Macaca fascicularis: one gene and its partners. The protein of the gene in region 3 purifies or fractionates together with the protein of the main gene of each other region. This does not show direct contact. Links are inferred from orthologs where the notes say so. Each region holds a gene or a part of one and is shown on either strand. Other genes may lie near its edges.

Region 1 (8,564 bases), on a different chromosome or scaffold from region 3:
GTAACTTGTACCCTACTTTCATTATAATACCTTGATCCTCTTCTAAATATAATAACTAATACTTAGATAATGCTTACCATATACCAGGTTTTAGTCAAAATGTTTTTTTATCTATGTATACATTATCTTCACAATAACCCTATGAGGTACTATTATCCCCACTATTTACAGATATAGGTACTAAGGCACAGAGAGGTTAATTAACTTGCCCAAGATCACAGAACTACTTAGGATGAAAAGCCAGTATTCAAATCAGCACGCTCTTGGCCACCACGCTACAATAGCTTTTTTTTTTTTTTTTTGGACAAGAGTCTTGCTCTGTTGCCCAGGCTGGAGTGCAGTGGCACAATCTTGGCTCACTGCAACCTCTTCCTCCCGGGTTCAAGCGATTCTCCTGCCTCTGTCTCCTGAGTAGCTGGGACTACAGGTGCGAACTACCACGACCAGCTAATTTTTGTATTTTCAGTAGGGGCGGGGTTTCACCATGTTGGCCACACTGGTCTTGAACTCCTGACCTCAAATGACCCACATACCTTAGCCTCCCAAAGTGCTGGGATTACAAGTGTGGGCTGTGACTGGCCTACAATACCTCTTAATTAAGGTATAGCAATAAATTGCACCTAGTTCTATTTTTAAACTGAATGCTTAAGTGATTGTTTTAAAGACTTGCCCTATTAGTATAATTTTATTTGAATAAGGCTATTTTATATATTGTTTCATTTTTAAGAAAATACCAAAAAGCAATCTAATCCAGTTAGCCAACAGTTCTCTAATCCCATATAACAAAAATAGAATATTTAGAATTTACAGTTCTTACACATATTTTGAATATAGTCCTATAATTCCTAATGTGAAATCCTTAGGACCACACATTTAGAAATTCAGACATTTTCAGATGCAATGATAATATGGCATATAAGTAAAATATTTATCACCGACATGATATGGGAGTACTCTATAATTAAATACATTACTACTTCTATAGAAGAATGTATGAATATTCACATTAGAGATAAATATGAATGACTATAAAAAGCCTCATATAATATATTCAAATCTAACAAATTTAGCACCAAATATATGAAAAAAATTTCCAGTATTCAGAGCCTCTGAGATACAAAGGACTGTGGACCTATAGTTTCTACTTTCCTTGCCCTTTTATTCCTGTTTCTTCACATACCATTCTCCTCCAAGGATATAAACAAGTAGTTAAATTGAAACCCTAAAATTATATTATAGGCTATACCTGAGTGTGTTAAGCAGTCGCCTTGGCTGAGTGGCAAGTTCATCAGTATATTTCTCTGGATTTAAGAGAAAACTAGCTTGGAGCTGTTCAACCGAAATGATTAAGGACTGTAAACTGCATATCAATTCATAACTTGCCAAAGAATCTTCTTTGCAATTTCCCTGTCAAGAAAGAAACACACAAACCAATAATTTTATGAACAAATTAAGTACCTTCCCCCTTTGTCTGTGTCTCACTTAAGAATACTAGGTTTTCTAAGTTGCATTATAGCACTAATTTTAAAGGATATACAAATAAGCCTTATTTTTTATTTTTTTGAGACAGGGTCTCTGTCACCCAGGCTGGAATGCAGTGGCTTGATCGCAGCTCACTGGAGCCTCAACCTCCTGAGATCAAGCAATCCTCCACCTCAGCCTCCCAATTAGCTGGAACTACAAGCTCACACCACCACGCCCTACTAGTTTTCATATCTTTAGTAGAGACAGGGTTTTGCCATGTTACCCAGGCTGGTCTCAAAATCTTGCACTCAAGCGATCCATCACCCACCCTCACCTCCCAAACTGCTGGGATTAGAGGCATGAGCCACCACGCCTCGTCTTTTTTTGTAATTTTAAGAGGAATTTTTGAATTACTATTTATGTGACTTACAATGGTTTTTTAATTATGGAAGTCAAAGATTTCTTTAAATACTGTGTAGTTACTTAAATTTTAAGTCAATTTGAAAACACAATGGGTAAATAGGTTGTACATGGGTGTGACATATTGTGATTATAGTACACAATAATGTATAGTATACAAGTAACAAAAGTTTGATACACATATTACAGGAGCAAACAATCTGTAAAAGGGAATTATCTAGTTAGCTACCTTGAAAGAATGAAAAATAATTGCCTGACAATAGTTCGTTAACAGAGAAATAATCTTTGTCACCCACCCCCGCAGTCTCTTCATTTCCAGGCAAGTAAATTTCCATTAATTTACTTTTGCTTTTTACATTATTTTCTGTTACTGTTCTTACCTTGTCTTTTTGATTGGCTTCATCCTTTAGAGCTTCTTTCTTCCTTGAAATAACATTAAATAAGTGCTTTACTCCAGATTTAAAACCGGGACAAAAATATAATACCTATAAAAAGTGAGACTGTCTAAGTGTTCACTGAACAATATACGTAAAATCATTAAAACAACATCATGCTTTCTATAGGCCCTTTTAATGTGTAGTACCTAAAATTCTGAGATTAAGTTTTGTGTCAAAATTTGTTCTCCACTTCATCAGTAGTAGCCCAGTGTATTCCCTCACTGGCACAAAGCACTGAGTCTGGGCAGATATTGCTAAGACTTTAAGGTTACAAGAACACACAACACAAAGCCAACGTTATTTCCAAGGGATAAGATACGTATTACTGTAGCACCAGCAATCAGAGAAAGAAATTAAAGGTTTGAACTTCCACTTAAGGTCTACTCAATTTTGCTATCCCACCTTTATTTAGTCTATCACTTTCTCTTATCCCAAAGCAAGTTTAACAACATGCAACGTATTATTTTAGCCTGTTCTGGTTCATTTACAATCAAAGGCAAAGACAGTATGGACATTAAAGTCCTCCAATAACTCAGAAACATTAAATGTTACATTATTCTTTGCCTACTAAAGTTTTGTTATATAGCAAAACTGTCAATTTACCTGAAGTATACTATTAAGATAGCAAGTATTGCCGAGATTATTCAGTCCCACAAATGGTAACAAGTTTTCTCTCTTCTCACAGTTTATAGGTGAAGACTGTGCTGCAGGAACAACTTGATCACTATTAAATATAGAAGGGGGAAAAGATAATCAAGTAGTTATCTCAAAGAAACAAGGTGAAAATATTACTTCCATAGATTTAGTCTTTTCCCAAAAGTTGTATAATCTGAAAAGTATGTGAATCTTGTTCAGATGACATTTTAAGAAATACAGGCTCAAAAACTGCTATATGCCCAGAATGAAAGTTTTTAAAACATTATTACACATACCAAGCCACAGAACAATTCCCTTAAAAGGATGTTAATCCTATTTTACAGAGCAAAAAATTGAGGAACTGAGAGACTGTGATTTGTTTTACCTACTTTGACATTTTAATCAAGTAGTGTAACTGAACAGAAACCTGGGAATAAATTAACCATGGCAATATTTGGGAGAGGCTGAACTAAGAAAGATTATATTAATAAGAATTCAAGGAAAAGAAAGTCTATGAAGAAAATTATATGGCCGGGCGCGGTGGCTCAAGCCTGTAATCCCAGCACTTTGGGAGGCGGAGACGGGCGGATCACGAGGTCAGGAGATCGAGACCATCCTGGCTAACACGGTGAAACCCCGTCTCTACTAAAAAATACAAAAAACTAGCCGGGAGAGGTGGCGGACAGCTGTAGTCCCAGCTACCCGGGAGGCTGAGGCAGGAGAATGGGGTAAACTCGGGAGGCGGAGCTTGCAGTGAGCTGAGATCCGGCCACTGCACTCCAGCCTGGGCGACAGAGCAAGACTGTCTCAAAAAAAAAAAAAATTATTTAGCTATCTCTCACTTAAAAATAAAATGTTCAGAAGGTGAGTGTGGTGGCACTGAGATGTAATCCCAGCTACTTTAGAGGACTGCTTGAGCCCAGGAGTTCAAGACCAGCCTGGGCAACACAAGGAGACCCCGTCTCAAAAAATAAATACATTATTATTCTTTTACTTCTTTAACAACAAAAAAAAACCCACTAGGTCTTCCCAGTATTTTATTTTACAATTGCTAGCTATTATTACTCCAGCACCTCAAAGTATTTAGAAGTATGAATGCTGATAAACAAAAGGTTCACTCTCAAACAATCTCCTCAACTGGTTATTGATAGCTATTGGAAATTAACACATGGGACCAAATCCACCTTAGTCACCCAGCAGAGTGACTATATGTTAAACAGGGAAGCAGTACAGACTCCAGCTAGAGCTGCTGGTGGTGGAATAAAGTATTTCACTTTGTTCTGATTTATTTTCTGTAGCTAAAGAATTTATTTGCATCAAAAGCATTACTTATTTTTAAGTTTATTTCTATAATTTGCAATCGTATGCCTCCAACAGGTATGACTAGTCACATGACTACAGTTTAAAATGTCTTATAACCGTCAAGTCTTCTGAACCAAACAAATATATATACATATATATATAACCTTTTACCCCTACACAAATGTTTTGCACGACAAATAAATTTAAACTCAGAAAGACAATTTTAATCTATGAATATTTCTCCAAGTTAGTCTACATGGCTGAGCACAGTGTTCATGAGTTAAACATTATGGATGTGATCCCTATGGGGAACCACCAGTTTTGCTGTTCCTACTATAAACGGCTAGACTTGACTTATTAAGAAGTACACTGAAGTGTACTTTTTTGTGCCTCTATAGACTATCAAGTCAGAGTGGAGGTGTCAACCAAGTTCACTGCTGCTTCACTGTAGAATTTTTAAAGTACAGAAATGTAAGATACATACATTTCAGATGCTCTATATTCAGAAGCTTTTTCTTCATTTTCTTGAGAATCTGTGAAATCCAAAGCTCTCTTAGTTTCCTTTTTCTGAAAAAACTTTAAGGAAAGTCTGTTTTTCTTTGATGGGCTACCTCTTGAAAGTCCATTACTTTCACTAGGTATGACACCAGGCATTTTTTTCTCAAATCCCAAGGAGTTGTCAATAATTAATTTATAGAGGAAAGTTGTAATCAATTATATCTGTTAATCACAGAGAAAAAATTTCATTAGTTTTCGGTTATCAGTTTTAGGCAACAAAATCATCAATTTTGAAAACAAATTTACCAAGGGAATGGTACAAATTAGAAATTAATATTTGAAAACCTAATGCCTGCCAATAGGCACTCAATATTTATTGCTTAAATGAAAAAGCTTACCACACTATTCTTAAAGAACAAAAAATAGAAGCTACTGAATTTTTAAAATCAGTCTGCTATGGATTAAGGGTCGCATTACAAAATATCCTATTTAGCAGACCTACAGTAAAGTAGTGTAAGTAGTAAAAACTTAATATTTCATTATAATAATTCATTCAGAAAAATTGAGCACTATCACCTCTAATTCTCAAGTACATGGAAAGGATGAATGGAAAATCAAAGTAGTGCTGGACGATAATGAGTCCTCTCTTCCAATGCCTTTTCTAGTTATTAACATGAATACATGAAAATAAAGTACCTAAAAAGTTTATTAAAGTATAATTTGCATTCAAGGCATAGAGATGGTGTTAAGATATACCTAAAACCGTAAAGTTTTATTATCTTTCAATAATAAAACACATGCAAAGTTGAGACAGTGATACAAAACACTGTTGGATGCACTTTGTGTAAATCCAATTCTTAATGAGCCAGAAATCACAATACTCGTTTTCCAAACTTTTTTTAAAACTTAGGATTCCAAAAATAGTGCTTTGAGTAGGAAAAAAGATGATTTGGTTTGCCATTTGCAACTTTCCCACCCTGTTTTAAAGCAAAACTTTCACAGGAAAAAATATGGCAACATTTGTAGGAGTTACTAATATTTTCTACATCAGTCCTATTTTTCAGGACATGTGAGGAAAAATTATCTAACTAGAGTATTACCATAATAAAATTACTTAAAGCCCAAAACTTCAGCAACGAGTTTCAAATTTAAAATGCAGAGTAATAAAATGAACTACACAAAACTCACTCAAATTCCATCCTTAATAAGCATTTCACGTGGCTGACACTGATCTAGGAATTCACACTAAACTCAGCACTGAAACCATTTTTAAGACCCAAGTCAGGAAGAACTGGAAAAGCTGATCAATCTCCCCATTCTGTCTCCAACTTCACTTACTCTCCTATCCACCTAATGCTTCACCTAATGCTTCTGAGGAAGCGCTGTCTTCTAAATGACAAACTAACCTACGCTAAGTTCTCAGGGATCGCCAAGCATTAATGATTCTGATAAAATGTTTTTCTCGAGAGCCAATTCTAATGGATGACAGAAACTGGATCTCAAACCGACAGAGTAACCAGACTTCACAGGAGGGAAGAATGATTAGGCAGGTGAAATAGCGGATCGTCAGCTTAATCAACAAACCAAACCTCCTAGTCCCTCAAAGCAATGTTCACACCGAGAATGTAACATTTTGCCAGGTGCAGTATCTTCCGTGCTATTATTTCTTGCTCCTGGCTTTCCTTATAACTGGGGGGGGCTGTTACATGCAAAATATTTCTCCTGTAACTAAGTCAACTTTCGCAGAAAGCACGACGAAACGACCATTATCTGTTGACAGCGTGAATACTCAGTCCCAACAGTTTTAAATTCTTTTTGAGATGACACGACTCGATTCCGATTTTTCAAGAAAAATATACAAGGACATCTTCGCCAAGGTTTAAGACGCGGCGTTCTAAACACTTCTGGAAAAAGTGTAAGTGAAAGAAAATGCGCGGTAAAATTTCGCAATTACTGACCGATCCAGGGCAACCTGCGTGGAAACGTTTCTTTCTCCCCAACCTTCACCGCTCTCGGGAACGGAAAGGAAGCTGGAAGAACCAGCAGCGACTAGGCTGCCGGGCCGGGGGAGGCTGGCGGCGGCGTTCTCGGCCCACACCCCCGCGCCGGGCGCCCTCGCCGCGGAGTTGGCCTATTTACGCCCAGCCCGCACCTGCCTTCTCGCGTCCCGGCGGCGGCAAGACAGGCGCCCCGCCCGAGGCACACAAGGCTCCCGCTGGCAGCTCGACCAGGGTGCGAGGCCAACACGGTCCCGGGGGTCTCCCCGGCAGCTCCTCTCCCGCGCCGGCCGAACTTGCCCCCGCGCCGGGGCGCCGGCCCCTCCTCCCAGGCCCTCCTTACCTGGTCATGGCCCAAAGCGAGGTCCGCGGCAGTGACGCCGGCAAGTCCAACCCGAATGAGTGTGGGTGCGACAGGTGAGTCCCTGTTCCGAGTCCGCCGGGTCCCCCCGGCCCCAGGAAAATCTGGTCGGATCACCCTCCCCGCGGGGGAGTGACCATCCGCTCCCAAGAGCGGGAACCCCGACCGCCGCTCGGTCCCGCCTTGCACCGGCACCAACTACATCCCCGGAGCGGCGCCTATCCGCGCCCGCCCCGGGATAGCCAGGAGCGCAACAAGCAGCAGCCCCGCTCGCCGAGCGCCTGAACCGCTAGGGTCTTTCGCACTCCGCCACCGAGGGGAACTTGGCGCGTTTTCCTCAGTCTCAGGACCCCCGTGTTTTAGCCTCCGCCCGCGCCAGCGCTGCGATTGAACGTGGCGTCCTTTGAAATTGCCGGTTCCAGTCTCCACGCTGCAGAGACGCGAAAGGCAGGAGCCGTCTCGCGACGGTCACTCGCCCCCGGCACGCACGGGCTCCAGAGCCAGCTGGGACTGTAGCTCCCCAAGAGCCTAACGGGTTCCACAGTTTCAAACAGCGCAGGCAGAGAGCCGGGCAGCTCGTGCGGGTCCTCGCTAAGGGCGCGCGCGAGGTGCTAGCGGCCTGGCTGGCGGGCTCGAGCCTCACACCCTTTTTTTAACCATTCGTGCGCGCGAGTTGAGGGAAACGCGTACGGGTCGGGAGACGGGACAGAGAGCAGACGGGACGGGCCACCGCCTAGAGAAGGAGCCCAAATTCACCAATCCATGATGAACAATCCCCAAAACCGCGCCTCCCACCGCCCGGGGGAAACCAATCAGAAGTACCTAGACCAAAGCCAATTAGAAGGGCGGGAGCAGCAAGTCCCTCTAATAGCAAAAAAGAAGAAAGGTGGGCTCCAGCCAATCATTGTTCGACATACGGAGTGTTCCTCAGGCACGGCGCCCCTCCTTCCGCTCTCATTGGCGCTCGAGTGCGCGCTTTCGCTGCCGACTGTTGAAATCTTGTTTGGCGTTTTGTTAATCCTCGACGGTGGGACGCCGCGGAGGGTGCGGCTTCCGGAGCGAGGCCCTCGCGGCAAGCCCCGCCTCCCTTCGTGCGTACGCGCCCGGGCGGGGTGACCGAGAGAGCCGCTCCGGAAAATGGCTGCCTGGCTGCATGCCGGGGCTTCACCCGGGCTTTCGGTTTGGAGTCGCGGCCACACTAGGCCTAGGGCCATCCAATGAGACAAGGCGCTGCCACGGATAACGATACATTCTCAGGCGAATGCTGTAGAGCTGAGGCCCACTCCTCAGCCCCTACTCGCCTCATTTTCTCCTGTTTACCCCTCCCCTTCTCGGCCGCAGGAGGAAACGAAAGAACAGTTTCAGGCCCAGCTCCGGCCGCGGGAGCTTCCCAGGGTTCCCGCGCGAGCCCTCCCAAAGAGTTCAGGAGCGGCAGGCAGGCCTCATCTG
Region 2 (8,564 bases), on a different chromosome or scaffold from region 3:
GATTGCAGATATGAGATCACTTAAAACTGATTAAATTAGCCTTTTGGCATTTAAATCACAGATGAACTTTACCATTAGAAGTAAAAAACTCTATGGAAACACTTATGCTGTCTCTACTTAGTCTGGCTTTTTTTTTTCTAATGGAGAAGTGAAAGTTTAATTTGCCTTCTTGGTCAGAAGTCTGTTCATTTTACGTTATTCAGATTGCTGAGATGTGAAATCTTAACATTAAAGGTTTTTATGGAGAAGTGAAGTGTATATTTGAATAAATTATGAGAGGGTACAGAAGAAACACAGTTTTGAGAGTATTGTGACTTTTAATGTTACATTTTTGAGGGAAATGTATGAAAAGTATCACAGTGGTAGGGATATCTGGACATACAGAAATTGTGAGAGCCAAGAATTTTTAAATCTGAAAAATACTAAGAGATTGTGAGTAATCTCAGAAAATTGGAAACTACATAATCCTACTTGTACTATCATTTTATCTTTATGTTATGATAGCGTTTTATCACATTTCTCTTAAAGAAGGGGTTCTTAACTGGAAACAATTTTGTTTCCCGGGAAACTCTGCAGTGTCTGAAGAGATTTTTGATGATCATGAATGGTGGAGGGGGATGTACTACTGACATCTAATGAGTATAAACCAGGGGTGCTACTAAATATCCTATAATGCCCAGGACAGTTCTACCTAACAAAGAAGTATCTGGTCCAAAATGTCGGTAGTGCTGAAAATAAGAAACTTCACTCTTAGTATTTTATGTTACATTCTTACTCTACTGTTTTGAATGTTTGCTTTTCTGTTGTGTACCTATTCAGAAAAAAGGATTTTAGCACTGATTATGCAAATGGAAGCTACAGATTAAAAAAGGAGAGGTCTGGGTGGTAAGGCTTATTCTCAAACTTGCTTATCTCAGTTTTGGTACGTGAATAATTAGGGCTATTCAGTCAGCAAAGAGGGCATCTGCACTCTTAGCAAATTCTAGAGTCAAGTTATGTAGTGCTTTGATACTTAGCAAATTCTGGAGTCAAATTATGTAGTGCCTTGATACATATGTGAAAATCCTGAAGAAACATGAGTCATACCATTCTCTACATTTTCATTTTTCTTTCTTGTTTTAGCGAGCGAGGGTCTCGTTCTGTCGCCCAGGCTGGAGTGCAATGATGCGATCTCGGGTCATTGCACCCTCCACCTCCTGGGCTCTAGTGATTCTCCCACCTCAGCCTCCTGAGTAAGTGGGACTACAGGCACATGCCACCACACCTGACTTATTTTTGCATTTTATTTTTTTCAGAGATGGGGTTTCGCCACGTTGCCCAGGCTGGTCTTGAACTCCTGGACTCAAGTGTTCTGCCTGCCTTGGCCTCCGAAAGTGCTGGATTACAGGCACCAGCCACTGTGTCTGGCCCCTGAATTCTTTTCTTAAGATCTTAATATCATGCCATTGACATTTATTTTTTAGTTATTTCAGAGGTGGCCTTCAGAAGAGGACCTGTTTGGTAAAATTGCTATTGAGGATATTTCACTTAAAAATAAATTTGTCTTTAAATCCAGAAGATTTTTTTTGTTGTTTTTTGGGGTTTTTTTTTTTTGTTTGTTTGTTTGTTTGTTTTTTGTTTCTTTTTTTGGAACGCAGTCTCACTCTGTCATCCAGGCCATAGTGCAGTAGTGCGATCTTGGCTCACTGCAACCTCTGCCTCCAGAGTTCAGGTGATTTTCCTGCCTCAGCCTCCTGAGCAGCTGGGACTACAGGCATGCACCACCATGCCTGGCTAATTTTTGTATTTTTAGTAGAGATGGGGTTTCGTCGTGTTGGCCAAGCTGGTCTCAAACTCCTGACCTCAAGTGATCCACCTGCATTGACCTCCCAAAGTGCTGGGGTTACAGCTATGAGCCACCATGCCCGGCCAAAATCTGGGAAAAAGTTAAGTTAAGCTTTTAGGCTTCTATTTTTATCAGACAGGGTAAAGAATTTTTACCTTTTCCCCTCTTTGTGTGATAAATTGGTTGGTTTTAGTTACTGATTATTTAAAATAATAGGTTACTCAAATCTAAGATTTTGATATAATAGTTCTCTGGAATACAGTGTGTGTGAGAGAGTGTATTTAGAATTTTTATTAAGGCTGGTATAGTTGAATTTCTTTTATATATTAGTAAAGTAGAAATTTTTGTTAAGAAATTTCTAACTTAAAATTTTCAAATTAATCTTCCCTGAAGTTAACTTGAATTAATAAGCTTTTCTTTAGAGTACTTTTAATATTTTTAACGTATCTTACTATGTACAGTGACTGTTTAAATGTAATCATTGTTCTGTGTCTCCAGAAATGAATAATTTGTTTATGCATTCATTTACACTGTTATCTGTAAATATGTAATACATCACCTATAGCCCCTCGACTGCCGTGTAACTTGGAGATATGACAAACTTCACAGAATTTAAGGATACTTAGTGTTGGTAGGAAGGGCATGGTAACAGATAAAGCCACTGAGAGAATAGTGGACTGAATAGGTATCTGCATTGAAGAGCAAGCTGGGGCTGGGAAGGGCTTTTGGACCTCAACTCAGCTCCCAGTTACCAAGCTTCCTCCCCACCCTAACTGATGGCATATTGAGAGTTTGATTTACGTCTGATTTTGTTGTGTGTGTGAGGAAACTTCTTTAAGAGCAGCGAGATTGGGAGAAATGTAGATTATTTTTATCTGTGAAATTAATAAGGTTGACTGTAGTTAAAATTTTTTAGAAATCAAAATGTTACATGATGAACAACTAAATGTTAAACTATTGGTATATTGATAACTATAGAAGGGTTGGCAATAAGGTCTGTTAAGACAGATTTTGTTCACTACTGACTCCCCAGTGCCTAGAACAGTGCCTGGGATGTAGTAGGTATTCAGTAAGTATTTGTTGATTAATAGGTTGTGCAGATGAATGATGTTATAGTCAGTTTTTTCTTTCTAGGTGCAGATGCTAATTTCAGTGTCTGGATTAAAAGGTGTCAAGAAGCTCAGAATGGTATGTGGGTCTCCCTTGGTATTTAGTTTAAAAAGAAATAAACATCTGAATTTTTTTCGGTTTAAACAAATTTGTTTTTACCTTTATAATTTCTTTTAAATAGTATATGTTTCCTTAGATGTGGACTTCCAAAGATACACTGGTTTTTGCATAGCTTCTTATGTTGAATGGGAGATTAGGGTGGATTTGTTTGTGTGGTGTATCAGTAAGAAATTACAAGGAGTCTAAGATGAATTCAGAATGCAAAATGAAACCACTTTCTTTTGGGTAGTTTTCTTTAGTTGAAAAGTATGTAGAATTTGCTTGCTTAATCAGTATGTTTGTGCTATAGGAATCATATAAATAACTTTGCTTATAAATGCACTGTTACCTGAAAATGTTTCCTTTTTATGTTTTAATAGGCTCAGAATCTGAGGTGGTAAGTCCACAGTTTTCATTCTTCATGTTTTTATTATTTATTTTAAATTTCAAATACCAAATATATTTGAGACAAGACTCAGGATGAGCTGTCTGATAATTAAATATTGAGTAATTTCGTTTAAGTGCTGGTTCCTCTAGGAACTGAAATAAAATCATTTTTTGATGAATATAGAAGTTTCCAGTCATGAAAATTATTGGCCTATTTTAATGAATTTAGTGTGTGGTTAAAGTTGATTTCGTGTGTTTTAGTATGGTCAGGATGATTATTTATCTTTTTGTTGCTAAAACCTTATTGCATTTATTTAGGTTAAACAGTTTGAATCACTTGAAGGGGTTTTTGTGATAGTCTAAGACAAAAGTTAAAGAAAATTGGAAATTGACAGGGTCTTGCCCTGTCATGCTGGCTGGAGTGCAGTGGTGCCATCATAGTGCACTTGAGCTTCAAACTCCTGGGCTCAAGCAGTCTTCCCACCTCAGCCTCCCAAGTAGCTGGGACTACAGGTGTACACCACCAAACCTGGCTAATATACTCTGTTTCTTTAAAACAATGTTGTTTTAGTTTAGGGAGTTGCTCAATCTTAGAACTGGCCATTTTATATAAGCAACCTTTTCTAATCATGCCTTTAGAAGTTTTCTGTTACTTAAAGCTCTGTTGTTTTAGAGGAAAAATCTTCTATGAAATTGAAACTAAGATTTTTTTAAGTGCTGAACATTCTAATTTTTTTTGAAAACTAGTCGTATTTAACAATTACAATTACCATACTTTGAATAAAATTTTCATGTAGTTATTTTGTATCAAAATAACTGCAGTGTTGGATAAATTAATAATATGTGCATTTTAATATACAGTTGCTAAACTGACTTGTAAAAATCTTTCTCTTTCAACTTGCCGAAATCAATCTGCATCCCAGTGGACTCACCAGTCAAAAATCAAGTAAGTGTTTCTTTTTCATAAAACAATGCATGATAGATATTCCTAAAGAAGAAGAAACCCTGTAGTTTAATAGTAAGTAAATTCTTACCATGTGATTTTTAAGTTTTTGTTTTCTAAGATTGTGGTAATAGCTTTATGTAAAGCTAATTTTAAGGCTGTTTAAGAATTAATATTTATACTTAAGTTAAATCCAAATCATTTCTCATCTTTAAAGTTGCTTCACTTGATTTCATACTATGTTACCTTTGCATATGTTAAGGAGCGTCTCTTCCAGTTAAGTTTATGGTACTACACAGATAAACAAGTTAGTAGTAGACCTAACAGAATTGTAACTTACCCTGCCTTTTGTATTTGGAGCAAATTTTTATAGGAACATTCTCTATGAGTTGAAAGTTAATTGCTGAGGGCAGCAATTATAATAATGAATAAGCAACTAGCAAGTTTCTGACTTTTAATTATTCATTAGCCTGTGTACAGCTTGTATTCTTAGGACTGTAACAGAAACAAGCCATTGCTCTGGAGCTTTGCATCCTTACTGAATTGCAAAGAGAAACTGAGACTCTTAAAGTTAATTTCTTTAATCAAGTTGGTTTTGGATATAATTACCTAAAATGGCCTGGAAATGTTAAAAACAATCTATTCATGGTGATTGTGGGGAGATACAGGATAAAACTCCAAGTACCTAGTAGATGAGGAACTTTGACTTGCCCTGGCGGCAGCAGCAGGGGTAGGGCACATAACCATGAAATAATAAGGTGTTCAGAGCATAAAATAATCCAACATCTGACTTAATTTACGTGTACCAGACACTGTGCTTTGTCCTAGGAATATAATAGTGACAGGATAAACAGTTTTGCCCTCAGGGAATTTTTAATCTAGTCTAATTTGAAAGTGAGAATTCCCTATTTTTGTACTGAAACTCTGTTTTTAGAGTTTCAAACTCTTCACATTTTGAGAGTATCACTCAAAAGATGTAGATAGTAGTGTAATTTAGTAGGAAAAAACTCTTAGAGTTTCAGTACAAAAGGTGCACATAATTAGAATCTAGACCCATTAGTCTTCCCATGTATCTTGAAATTGAAGGAAAGTGTTGTATATGGTGTTGTGCCTGACATAGTTAAACTTTATATGATTTTAATTTTAGCTCATTTGCCCCTGTTTCCTGTGCTAAAGTCTATCAGCTTCCAACTTCAGTTATGAGAGCTTGGAGTGTTGACTCAGGCTTATTGCTTCACCTTTCTGAGTTTAAGTTTTATCATCTGTAAAATAGGGATTTAAGTGATTATCTTTAGTATTTGGATGACATGAGTGTAAAAACTTTGTTAATGACATGTAAATATTAGCTGTTTAAAATAAATGGCATCTTTAATATTTATATTAGTTTAAGCACAACAGTGTTGGAGATGAGTCAGAACCCAGAAAATCATGCAAGTATTTAAGTCTGCTGGAAAGGTGTGAGCATCATCTACCTTACCATTTTTTTCCTTTAGTACAGAGCATAAAAAACTAGTTAAGTAAAGTTGTTTCTGTGAATCAATAGCTGCTTTGCTGTTTTCTTCCTCCAGGTGGAGCTCTTGTTGTTTATCAGACTAGTTTTTGTTTTGACAATAGCTTTAAGAAAATTAGAAGTGTTATTTAAGTTTCTTTCTTTTTTTAATAGGTATGACTGGTATCAAACCGAATCTCAAGTAGTTATTACACTTATGATCAAGAATGTTCAGAAGAATGATGTAAATGTGGAATTTTCAGAAAAAGAGGTCAGTAGACTTTGAATCATTTTTCAATGTTAATTACTATTATTTGTAAATTTAGTATATTGCAGAATAATCTATAACGCTTTATCAGATAAATATCATTTCTTCCTGAGATGATGTGGAAAACGCTGAGTAAAATCTGAAGCCATTGCTTTGAGATAAGAATATGTATGTTGGTAAGTTATAGCTGGATGTGCTTTTTTTCCCTTCAGATTTGAAATTTAGAGCAGAATTTCGTTACATTAGTAAGATAATGTGATTTGTTTATACTTTTGTGGTGTACTTCATGAAAAAGATCTAGTTTTGTGATCACACATGTCTTAGAATTGACTAACCATGTTAAATGAATGTGACTTTTTTTTTTGTTTTTTGAGACAGAGTGTCCCTCTTGCCCAGGCTGGAGTGCAGTGTCGCGATTTAGACTCACTGCAACCTCCTCCTCCTGGGTTCAAGCAATTCTTCTGCCTCAGCCTCCTGAGTAGTTGGGACTACAGGCCCATCCCACTGTGCCTGGCGAATTTTTGTAGCAATGGAGTTTCGCCATGTTGGCCAGGCTGTTGTTGAACTCCTAACCTCAAGTGATCCACCCACCTCGGCCTCCCAAAGTGCTGGGATTAGAGGCATGAATCACTGTGCCCAGCCTCTTGAGTATGACTTTTAACAACTTGATTTCTTAGCATTTAGTAGAGAACCTTTTAATAGATAATTTAGAAGAGATAGTGATAGAGCTGTGTGTTTTGCACATGAATTACTTTTTGTTATATATCATTTTGCTTTTGTATGTTTTCTTGAGATTTAAATGTCAAATAGGTGTGATTATATGACAAATATTATGAAACTTACTCTTTTCTGCTGTTTAATGATATATATAAGAATTCATGTCAAGGATAACAGATGGAAAAAAAAAAAAGGTTCTTAAATCTTTCAGAACCTTTTGAGGTTCTTAAATCTAAAATCCCATATGTAATGTTTAAAATAATTTGTAACATTGAAGATTTATAATTATTTTGTCTAGGTTTTTTACCCTCCATTATATACATTTGCAAAATGTGATGGTAATTTTGTGTTCATTAGTTGTCTGCTTTGGTTAAACTTCCTTCTGGAGAGGATTACAATTTGAAACTGGAACTTCTTCATCCTATAATACCAGAACAGAGCACGTTTAAAGTACTTTCAACAAAGGTAAGACAATTGAAAAGGTTTGTTGCTAGTAATATTTTCAGAATTATAGAAATACTGGTGAACTGATCACCGATGTGTTTATGAGCTTGTAGATTCTTTCAGCCCTTTATATTTACAAGGGACAGGGAAAAGAAGAATGATAACTTTTGAGTGTAAGGGTTATTTTACCTCTCAAATTCTAGTACAGTAAAGTGTAAAAATCCACTTAGCTTGTGTGGTGTTTGTGCACTTATTAAAACAGATATAATGTTTTTCAATAAAGAGATTTTTTTAAAAGATACAATAATGAGCCTATCTTTTAAGATTGGATACTGGCCGGGCGCGGTGGCTCAAGCCTGTAATCCCAGCACTTTGGGAGGCCGAGACGGGCGGATCACGAGGTCAGGAGATCAAGACCATCCGGGCTAACACGGTGAAACCCCGTCTCTACTAAAAATACAAAAAATTAGCCGGGCGTGGTGGCGGGCGCCTGTAGTCCCAGCTACTCGGGAGGCTGAGGCAGGAGAATGGCGTAAACCCGGGAGGCAGAGCTTGCAGTGAGCTGAGATCCGGCCACTGTACTCCAGCCTGGGTGACAGAGCGAGACTCCGTCTCAAAAAAAAAAAAAAAAAAAAAAAGATTGGATACCGACAGTGTCTCTTCTCTTGAACTTGTCAGTTTTGTTTGTTTTGATGTACACATACTTTTCTCACCCTACCTCATGCAGTTAAAAATACAAACTACTATAAAGATGAATCCTCCTTTTTTTTTTTTTTTGAGATAGAGTCTTCTTCTGTCGCCCAGGCTGAAGTGCAGTGGCACTGTCTCGGCTCACTGCAACCTCTGCCTCCTGGATTCAAGCAGTTCTCCTGCTTTAGCCTCCCAAGTAGCTGGGACTACAGGCATGTGCCACCACACCCTGCTAAATTTTTGTATTTTTAGTAGAGATGGGGTTTCACCATGTTGGCCAGGCTGGTCTCCAGGTCCTGACCTTGTCCTTTTTTTTTTTTTTTTTTTTTTTTTTAATTAAAATGAATTTTACGTTACTTTGTAATGAGGGAACAATGAATAAATTATAGTTTGAGTAGTTTTTAGATTCCTTTATAGTTTCTAAAAGAAGTAGAGATATACAATAGAATTAATGTTCAGAGAGTATCACTCAAAAGATGTAGATAGTAGTGTAATTTAGTAGGAAAAATACTGAATTGAAAATTTAAAAATCTGACTCTGGATCTTTGCTTGCCCTGTGAATTTAGTCTAGGCACAAAATGACTATAAGACT
Region 3 (8,177 bases):
TTTCTGGGCCCCAGAGATTGGCTCTGCTACCTCTCATCAAAGCCAGTGTTCAGGAGCGGGAGCAAAGGGCAGGAAGCTTGAGGGCAGCACAGGGTGGGCAGCACGCACTGGATCCAACACCAAACAGTTTCAAGGGTCCTTGATCAGGGGCTCTTCTCCTGGCAAGGCTCACCAGAGCTCTCCCCTTTCGCTTTCATTTCTTCCTTTCTCTCCCCTCAAAAGCCCTTTCCTAATTACCTGGATTTCCAGCAGGAAGCAGGGAATAGAGCAGGCGGGGATGCCCTTCTCCTTAGCACTTACCCTGCAGACACTGTGGCTTCAGGGATCTTCAAATATTAAGGACTTTAATATTCAGAAAACACTTTCAGTTGTATAAGCAGCTCTACATATACTATTAGATGGTATCTGGATAAACAGAAATGCAAAGAAACTCCTCAGAAATAACTGAGGCAGCTCCCATGCAAGAGCATGGAGACCTATCAGTAAGTCTGTGCCACTTTGGTCACTCATCATGTGCTCGACTGAATTAGCTTTTCATCTAAATGCCCTACTTACCCCAAGCCTCCAAAGGGCAGAGTCTCACTCCATATCTCCAAGGTGCCTTACATGTAGTATGTGCACAATGAGACCGTAAGAGACAATAAACCCAGCAGCAAGCACAACTAAACCGGAGGACTCAGGAAAAGAGCAATTCCAAGCCTCATACCCCTTTCTCCTGCAGCAGACACAGAAGTTAGGAAATGAGGCGTCCCTGCATCACAGCTTCTGGGTCCCAGGGGCTGCCCCGGCCAGAGTTGCTATGGGGCCGATTTTAGAATCTGGAAGCGACTGCTGCCTCCGTGGGCCACGCTGAGCCGGTTCTGACCGCTCTGGAAGTGAGCTGCAGTGGAAGAGATCCACATACACGGCCTGGGTCTGCTCCAGCCACGGGGACAGGTGAACCCTGCCCAGAGGTGGATTTAAGAACTGAGGAAGTCAGAGAACCAGCCCAGACCTGCAGGACCTAAGGCATTGGCGTGAAAGCTTGGAGTTGTCCACATCTGCTTCAACCCAGTGGGGCAGCCCCAGGGAGAAGGCAAGGGGCTGGCAAGTGAACCAGGGCAGGGGTCCCGAGGTGGTTCAGCTTCCAGTCTCAGCCAGAGTGCTCCGCCTGCACTGGGGAGTCAGCTCCCTTGGTCCCTGGGTCCCTCACTGGGCCGAGATGAGGCAATTCTCTTCCATGGCCTCAGTGGTTTCCAAAGAGCACTGTGTGCAAGTAGCCTGACATGGAAGTGAAGTACGGCCATTATGAAGACAAAGTCCACCCAGCGGCCTCCTAGAGGGGGATGCAGAGCCCACCACCGAGTCTACTAGTTAAGAAATAAGAACTACCCTGTCACTGAACTAGCCAGGTCCCACCCAAGGGCGGACCTAAAGAAGAAAGCCAGGTCTACATAGGAAGGTGGTCCATGTGAAATGAAGACCAACAGTATCTTCCACACACGGTTTCCAAGTGCAGGGTGGGGGCGAGGTGAGGGCGGAGGCCCACTGTCTGTAAACGCGGTTGAGTAGTAGCTGGGAATACTGGCTTTCTAAGGATACGCCGCTGCACCTACATGATTCCTGCTGGTGGTGGAGGGCAAGCCAACCAGCTCGACTGACCCTGTCCCAGTAAGAGGCAGCTTAACCCGCTTATGTGAGCTACAGGCCCCCAGAAAACTGAAAACCATCTTGGCTTCGTGAGAGTAAGGTTGTCCAGGGATCGCCTCTATCTGTACAACCTCTGTCTGTCCCCCTTCTCACATCTTCCCTAAGAAGTACCCAAACATCTTACCCTAAGTCGTAAGAAGAAATAGAAAAGCTGTAAGATCAGGCCTGGCACGGTGGCTCACACCTGTAATCCCAGCACTTTGGGGAGGCTGAGGTAGGCGGATCACTTGAGGTTAGGAGTATGAGATCGGCCTGGCCAACATGGTGAAACCCTATCTTTACTAAAAATATGAAAATTAGCTGGGCGTGGTGGTGTGTGCCTGTAATGCCAAGTATTCAGAAGGCTGAAGCAGGAGAATCACTTGAACCCGGAAGGCGGAGGTTGCAGTGGGCAGAGAACACACCACTGCGCTACAGCCTGGGAGACAGAGTGAGACTCCATTTCAAAAAGAAAAAGAGAAAGAAAAAGAAAAAGAAAAAGGAAAAGGAAAAGAAAGAAAAGAGAAAAGAAAAGAAAAGCTATAAGATCAGCTAATTATACTGTTTAGCATTCAGTTAATTTCACATTTCATTCAATGTAGGTTAACGGATGTTTTTCTCTTTAAAAAAAAATCAGAAATATCTGATAACCCCAATATTCCATCCATTCTTTCCAAACCCAAGCTAGTGTGACTGTCTCCAAGACACATCTGGCTGCTGAGACAAAAGCAGATACTTGTAAATACTTGTAAATTTCATATTTATTATAACAAAAATTATGACATGTCCATTTGTGCATTCTGCTTGAGTGTAACTCTGGGTATGTAAATGGCCTAATGGGGCACTATACAGCCATGCTGATTGTGGCAGCAGTAAGGAACACAGTTAAAAATTGTCTGTCAAAGTGGAGAGGCTGGGACAGGGAGGAAAACGGGTTTAGGGCCTTTGGGTGCAGGCTCTTGTGTGGTGGCCTAAGATCCACTTCCTCTGGACAGAAACGCTGCAGCTGCTCAGCCTCCTCATTCAGTGAAGTGAGGGTGAGTTGGGAGGCAGGCAGGCTCCTCAGAGGGGAGGGGAAGGGGAAACGTCAGTTACTTGGGCTGTGTCCTCACGCCAAGACTACAAAACATCGTAAGCCTCACTATACAACACTGAGCTATTTACAATAGAAATTCTCAATCGCTGTTCTCTCAGAGAAAATTAGTGAATCCCAGTGACTTAAGTCACCTGACAGAGTAAAGCAACTCCTAGGAGTTAGTCTCCATATTCTACAAATGTCTATTATTTTCAAGACCAAAAAAAAAAAAAAAAAAAAATCCTTTTCCCCCCAAAGAAATACAGAATTACAATATTATTAAATCATTTAGCAACGGCAGCCTGCCCTGCCTTCCAAACAAACAAAACAACAAAAAGCCATTTTAAAAAATAGCACATTATCATTAACTGTTTCTCTGTAATATATTAAACCTTTTGCTCTTTGTCTTTACATATCTGATATGTTAGGGGGAGAAGTTAACAAATGTAAATCATATTGGTAAAGCATCACTAGAAGAAAGTGGTGATTATTTTAAAAAATAACCCAAAGAAAGAGAACCTACAGATTAGCTGCGACGACAGGTTGGGAACAGTGTCCGGGGGAAGGACGTGGAGTAAAACCCCTGGTTTAATGTGAGCCTGAGAGACTCTTGCAACTTGGTATTTTGTGGTTAGTTTATTTGTTAAATAGCTCGGCTGGGTCATAGTGGCGTGTCGTAATAATCTGGCAGCTGGTCCAGTTGGTAGTGCCGCGGCAGCTGCGGCTGGAGCTGAGGTGGCGGTGGTGGCTGCTGCTGCTGCTGTTGCTCCTGGTGATGCTTCATGATTTCTTTGACCTCCTCTTCCAGCTCCGGGGGTATGATAAACTGATCATCGGGATCTGGCTGAGCCGGGGCAGCAAAATAGCCTCCAGGCTTTCGAAGAGGTGCATCTGTAGCCACCTCTATCATATTGTGGCTCCTTTCCTGGGGCGCAACAGAGCCATTGGCCCTCCGGCGCCCAATGGTCCCAACGGCAGAGAAGTCTGCCTTCCTGGGCAGACCCGGCTCATCCTCGTTGGCGCTGATGACAATGCCCTCATCGCTGGCCTCTGCTGGCACCTGAAGCAGGTGCTGCTGTTTCTCCTTCTCCTTGGCCCGGCTGCAGTGGATGTCCACCTCCACCTCCACCCGGCTGCCATTGGTGAAGACGCCCTCGATGGGCTCCTCATCGTCACTGTCAAGGCCGTTGTCGGAGAAGGCGCTAGAGAACGTGGCGCTGGACAGCTGGCGCTGGAAGGAGTTGGACAGACAGACGGGGTGGAGCATGCAGCGCTGCTCACTGGGGTAGGCAGGGCTGTTCTCGCTTAGGGCTCCGGGCGGGGGCTCATCGGAGGCTGTGGACCCCACCTCGCTGCTCATCTCGGAAGTGGAGAGCTCACTGCTGATCTCGGAAGCCATGCCGCTGCTGGAGGACGGCACGCCCAACCCGTCTGAGGGCCGATCCTTGATCACCATGTTCACTGAGGGAGGGAAGATGCCAGGGCTGGGTGGTGGCACGGCCCCACCGGCGCTGAGCTCGCAGCAGCAGAAGCTGTCCTCGGTGACACTGAGCTGCACCACCACAGCGCTGATGCTGTCGTGGCAGCCGTAGCTCTGGGCCAGGGTACACAGCTTCTTGGCGGCAGCCAGGGCGTCGGGAACATTGCGCACGGCCTCCACGGCCTCCTCGAGGGACAGGCTATCCCACAACCCCTTACTGCCTAGGATGAAGAACTCATCCTGGGGGGTCAGGAGCACGGACTGCACGTGGGGGCGAGGCACCACACTGGGGTGGAGGAAGGTGTAGCCCAGGATGCGCGTGGACTCAGTCACCCCGTTCACCTTGCCATCCTGGAAGAACAAGGGTTTGCAGAGAGACAGTTAATACAGAGCACCTGTGGCAACTGTGCAGGTTCCCTGCGGGTCCTTCGACTGTCTCAACTGTAGGACCACAAAGAAGTGCTGTGTGGCCCACAGAGGAAAGAAGGGCTCACTCTCTAGTGAGTAGTTAATGTGCACCTGTCATCAGAATCCCCAGGTAGTAGGCCTGGGCAGGTAAAGAGCAGTAGGGACAAAAGGAAAAGATTTTGGTTATGTGTGTTACTGGGACCCCATTCACACTAGGTCACAAGTCCTGCTGTTTATCTAAAGCAAGCCATCATCTAGCCTTACACACAGCAAGCATAGCTGGCCAGCTCCTCCTATAAAGGTGGGTTTACATCTTCCCTCCCTCAGTGAACATGGTGATCAAGGATCGGCCCTCAGACGGGCTGGGCGTAGGAAGACTCTGAGGTAGGAAGAGTCTTTCTGACAGAAGCCAGTCCTGAGCAAAGATACACGAGGCAGGCATATATCAAGACAATGCTCCTGAATCTTCCATTGCTCTCCATGATCACAAGTGGCTGTAGTGTCTAAAAGTCCAGAGAGGACTTGAAAGTACTTAAGAGGTGGAGAAAACCTTGGCATGACTAGGTGGGTAAGAATGCTCCTGTCAGGAGAACAGATGCTAAAGAAGAAATGCCAATTCTTACAACTTCCTCGAACTTGATTTCCTGTTGACCAATGGAGAAGGCAAGATCTGCTGGCTTTAGTTCAGCTGTGTGCATGCTATTTAAATCAATTACCAAAGTGCCAGACCACTTGCCAATAAAAAGATTTTTTTTTCCATGTGTACCTGCTTTGTTCTTTATTCTTCAAATTTTGAGATTCTAAGGTCCATGACATATCTCTACATGCCCTAGTTTTAACACCTCTTTCCAGGAAAGGCTTCATTACAACAAATCCCTGTCTGGGATGAGCAAGTGTTTCTTCCAGAGAACATCCATTTCCTTTCCAGTCCTACCACTTTCCTTTATTTGGGATTTGGCAAGGTGCCTGCTTGTCCTAGGGATGTCTTTCCCAGCTTCTCACACAACTTTGCCACACCACACTTATAAGCAGATAAGCATTCCTATTAGTACAATTAGTAAGATGGGCTTCAAGCACAACCTTAAACTGCCTTGATTCTACTGACATAATCTGTCCCCAAAGCATGGAATTTGGCAGAAACTGTTCTTGCTGTTCTGCCCATCCCTTTAGATTTCTCTCCATCAGAACCAATGGTTTTGTGATTCATGAGCACTGAAGCTTCCAACATGGGCTCCAGGAGTTCTGCTCCATTCGCTAATTCATCAAGGTGTTGGTCATTTGCCCTGTGCCTGAAAAAATGACATGGGCAGACAGCAGTGACCTGCAGATAAACATCTACCTTCAAGAAGTTTCCAGTCTTACACTGTTGATAAAACCCACAGAACCACGTACAGTTTGAGGTGGACTCTGGTGAAAGCTTATAGTCCAGTAGAGAAAAAAGACTGATTCCACATAGGCTTTGATGAGGGCCTTAAGAAAGAAACAGAAACACTCAAGCTATACATGGGATTCTGTGCAAATGAGTCTGTGTGAATTTGTTCTCTGTCTATTCTTGGAGCAGAGAGGATGAACATGGATGGCAGACACTGTGTTAGGGAGCAGAAGACAGTCTAATGTGGACAGAATGCACTGAATTCAACTTTAGTTCAACACTATGCCAAACACAATTGAAGGTAAATGATTTCAGCAGCCTACATGAATCATGGTTTGCACGTCAGACTTCTCTTGTTTTCCGTGCCTCGCCTCTTCCCCGCTTTTGTTTGCATTGCTTAATACTCAACAATGAGGTTTTGTTTTGTATTGTATTTTACTTCTCTACCTTGAGACACGTCCTCCAAACACACACACCACAGTCCGTGCTGTGGGGACTGCCCTGTGCATTGTGGGGTGTTGAGCGGCATTGTCCTAGCAGCGCTGTAGGATGCTCAGTGGTCTCAATCCACTGCATGCCAATCGCACTCTCCGCCCCAACTGTGATGACCAAAAATGTCTCCATATGCTGCCAAACGTCTTGTGGGGAAGCAAACTGCCCCTAGCTGAGAACTGCTCACTGTGTACTCAAATGAGACGTGAGACATGAACCAAAATAACAACGACTTACACTTACATAGACCTTCATAGTTTACAAGTCGTACCAACCTTGTAAGATAGGACAGATGCATGATTATTCCCACTTTACAGATGAGAAAACTGAGGCTTAGAGAGGTTTAAAGGTTACAGCCTGCAAGTGGCAGAGCTAAGACATGAAAACTAGTAGTGTGATGTCAGGGGTAGAGCCCTCAACCACCAAAGCAGCCCTCTGTAGAGTGGCTGCAAACATGGAATGGGATCGTGCCCACGAAGCACGCAGCACAGTGCCTGATGCAGAGAGGCAACTGACAAGCATACGTCATAATGTAAGACATTTGCTTTGTGATACTATGGGTTTGGAATTCTAATGTCGAACCAACTTCAAAAAGTGTTCTTTGAAGGCAAATGCTCCCTAGCTAGTTTCTGCTATGATCTGGTCTCCTCTCCTCTCCACCATCCTGGGGAAAAGCCCTCTTTTCTCACCTCAGTGATAATGGCCTTGTGCTGTTTAATCCTCTTCAGCTCTTCTTCACAGCTCATGATGTAAGATCTGGACAGAGGCAGTGGCTTTCCATTTCGACAGAGAACTGTTTGGCACTTGCCCACATTAGCAGAGGTCAAGGTGAAGGATCCTCCTGGGTCCACAGGGTCATGCTTGATATGACAAAGGACAGCGGCACCACCAAGCTTCTGCCCAGCAGTTCCAAGTTTCCTGGAATCCGAAGAGAGGGGGTGACACTCAAACACAGTCCATCAGTGCCAGTTCTGCAAATTCAACACGAAGACTGCACCACTGGACAGGGCCAGGAAGGAGACCTCTGGGGATTCCACTCCGCTTCCTTCATCAAAGCACACACTGCTCCGCCTCTTTGATGAAAAGAGCCCCGGAATCCGACGCCACACACATCCACACAGAGAGGCTCACAACTGGGAGACAGTATCACTGTACCACTAAAAGCCACAGGTGCTGCTCTGGAAGGCAGATGCCCCTGGGCTGCTGTATACAGCCTGTTACCCTCGTCAACCACACTGCCCTATCAGCACACTCCAAAGACAGCAGGAAAATGACTTCTCTCTCTCTCTGCTTCTCTAAATTCCCTCTGTCCACAGGAGAGGAACATTGAAACAACCATGCACATAAGAGCAGGTATAAACACCCTACCCCACTGGCAGGCACACGTCAGAAAAACCTGACAACCCTCTCCCCCTTCTAAGGATGTTTGCTGGTAGGAGCCTTTAAGTATTGGAGTGTTCATGCTCCTGCCCTATATAGTAAAAACTTTCTGGCCCAGTACCCTCTATTCTAGAAAACTCATAGAAAGGACATTCTAGTAATAGAATACCAAGTGCTTGTGATTTATCTTTTTAATCATGACAATTAATCCACAGACTTATCAAATATAGGAAGCACCTGCAAATTCTGAAAATCAAAAATCAAAAACCCCTCTTACAAAGCTACTTGTTCTGGCAGATTAT

Evidence for each region.
Region 1: the proteins of PHLPP1 (region 3) and USP1 purify together in Homo sapiens (affinity purification with mass spectrometry; 6 studies listed by BioGRID and IntAct, counting the BioPlex papers as one, with this or other methods). This does not show direct contact. The link is inferred for Macaca fascicularis from reciprocal best matches to the Homo sapiens genes PHLPP1 and USP1.
Region 2: the proteins of PHLPP1 (region 3) and SUGT1 purify together in Homo sapiens (affinity purification with mass spectrometry; 5 studies listed by BioGRID and IntAct, with this or other methods). This does not show direct contact. The link is inferred for Macaca fascicularis from reciprocal best matches to the Homo sapiens genes PHLPP1 and SUGT1.

The regions. Positions count from the first base shown.
Region 1 is NC_088375.1:172,260,590-172,269,153, forward strand, and holds the start of USP1 (ubiquitin carboxyl-terminal hydrolase 1), read right to left. Parts: upstream 8,197-8,564; 5' UTR 7,938-8,196; intron 7,505-7,937; exon of another isoform or gene 7,098-7,504; intron 4,980-7,097; 5' UTR 4,914-4,979; coding exon 4,744-4,913; intron 3,046-4,743; coding exon 2,925-3,045; intron 2,370-2,924; coding exon 2,265-2,369; intron 1,408-2,264; coding exon 1,247-1,407; intron 1-1,246. UniProt on the Homo sapiens protein: Negative regulator of DNA damage repair which specifically deubiquitinates monoubiquitinated FANCD2. Also involved in PCNA-mediated translesion synthesis (TLS) by deubiquitinating monoubiquitinated PCNA.
Region 2 is NC_088391.1:31,868,367-31,876,930, forward strand, and holds part of SUGT1 (protein SGT1 homolog), read left to right. Parts: intron 1-2,959; coding exon 2,960-3,013; intron 3,014-3,414; coding exon 3,415-3,431; intron 3,432-4,344; coding exon 4,345-4,367; intron 4,368-6,027; coding exon 6,028-6,124; intron 6,125-7,195; coding exon 7,196-7,303; intron 7,304-8,564. UniProt on the Homo sapiens protein: May play a role in ubiquitination and subsequent proteasomal degradation of target proteins.
Region 3 is NC_088392.1:17,856,943-17,865,119, forward strand, and holds the end of PHLPP1 (PH domain leucine-rich repeat-containing protein phosphatase 1), read right to left. Parts: intron 7,414-8,177; coding exon 7,185-7,413; intron 4,575-7,184; coding exon 3,405-4,574; 3' UTR 2,412-3,404; downstream 1-2,411. UniProt on the Homo sapiens protein: Protein phosphatase involved in regulation of Akt and PKC signaling.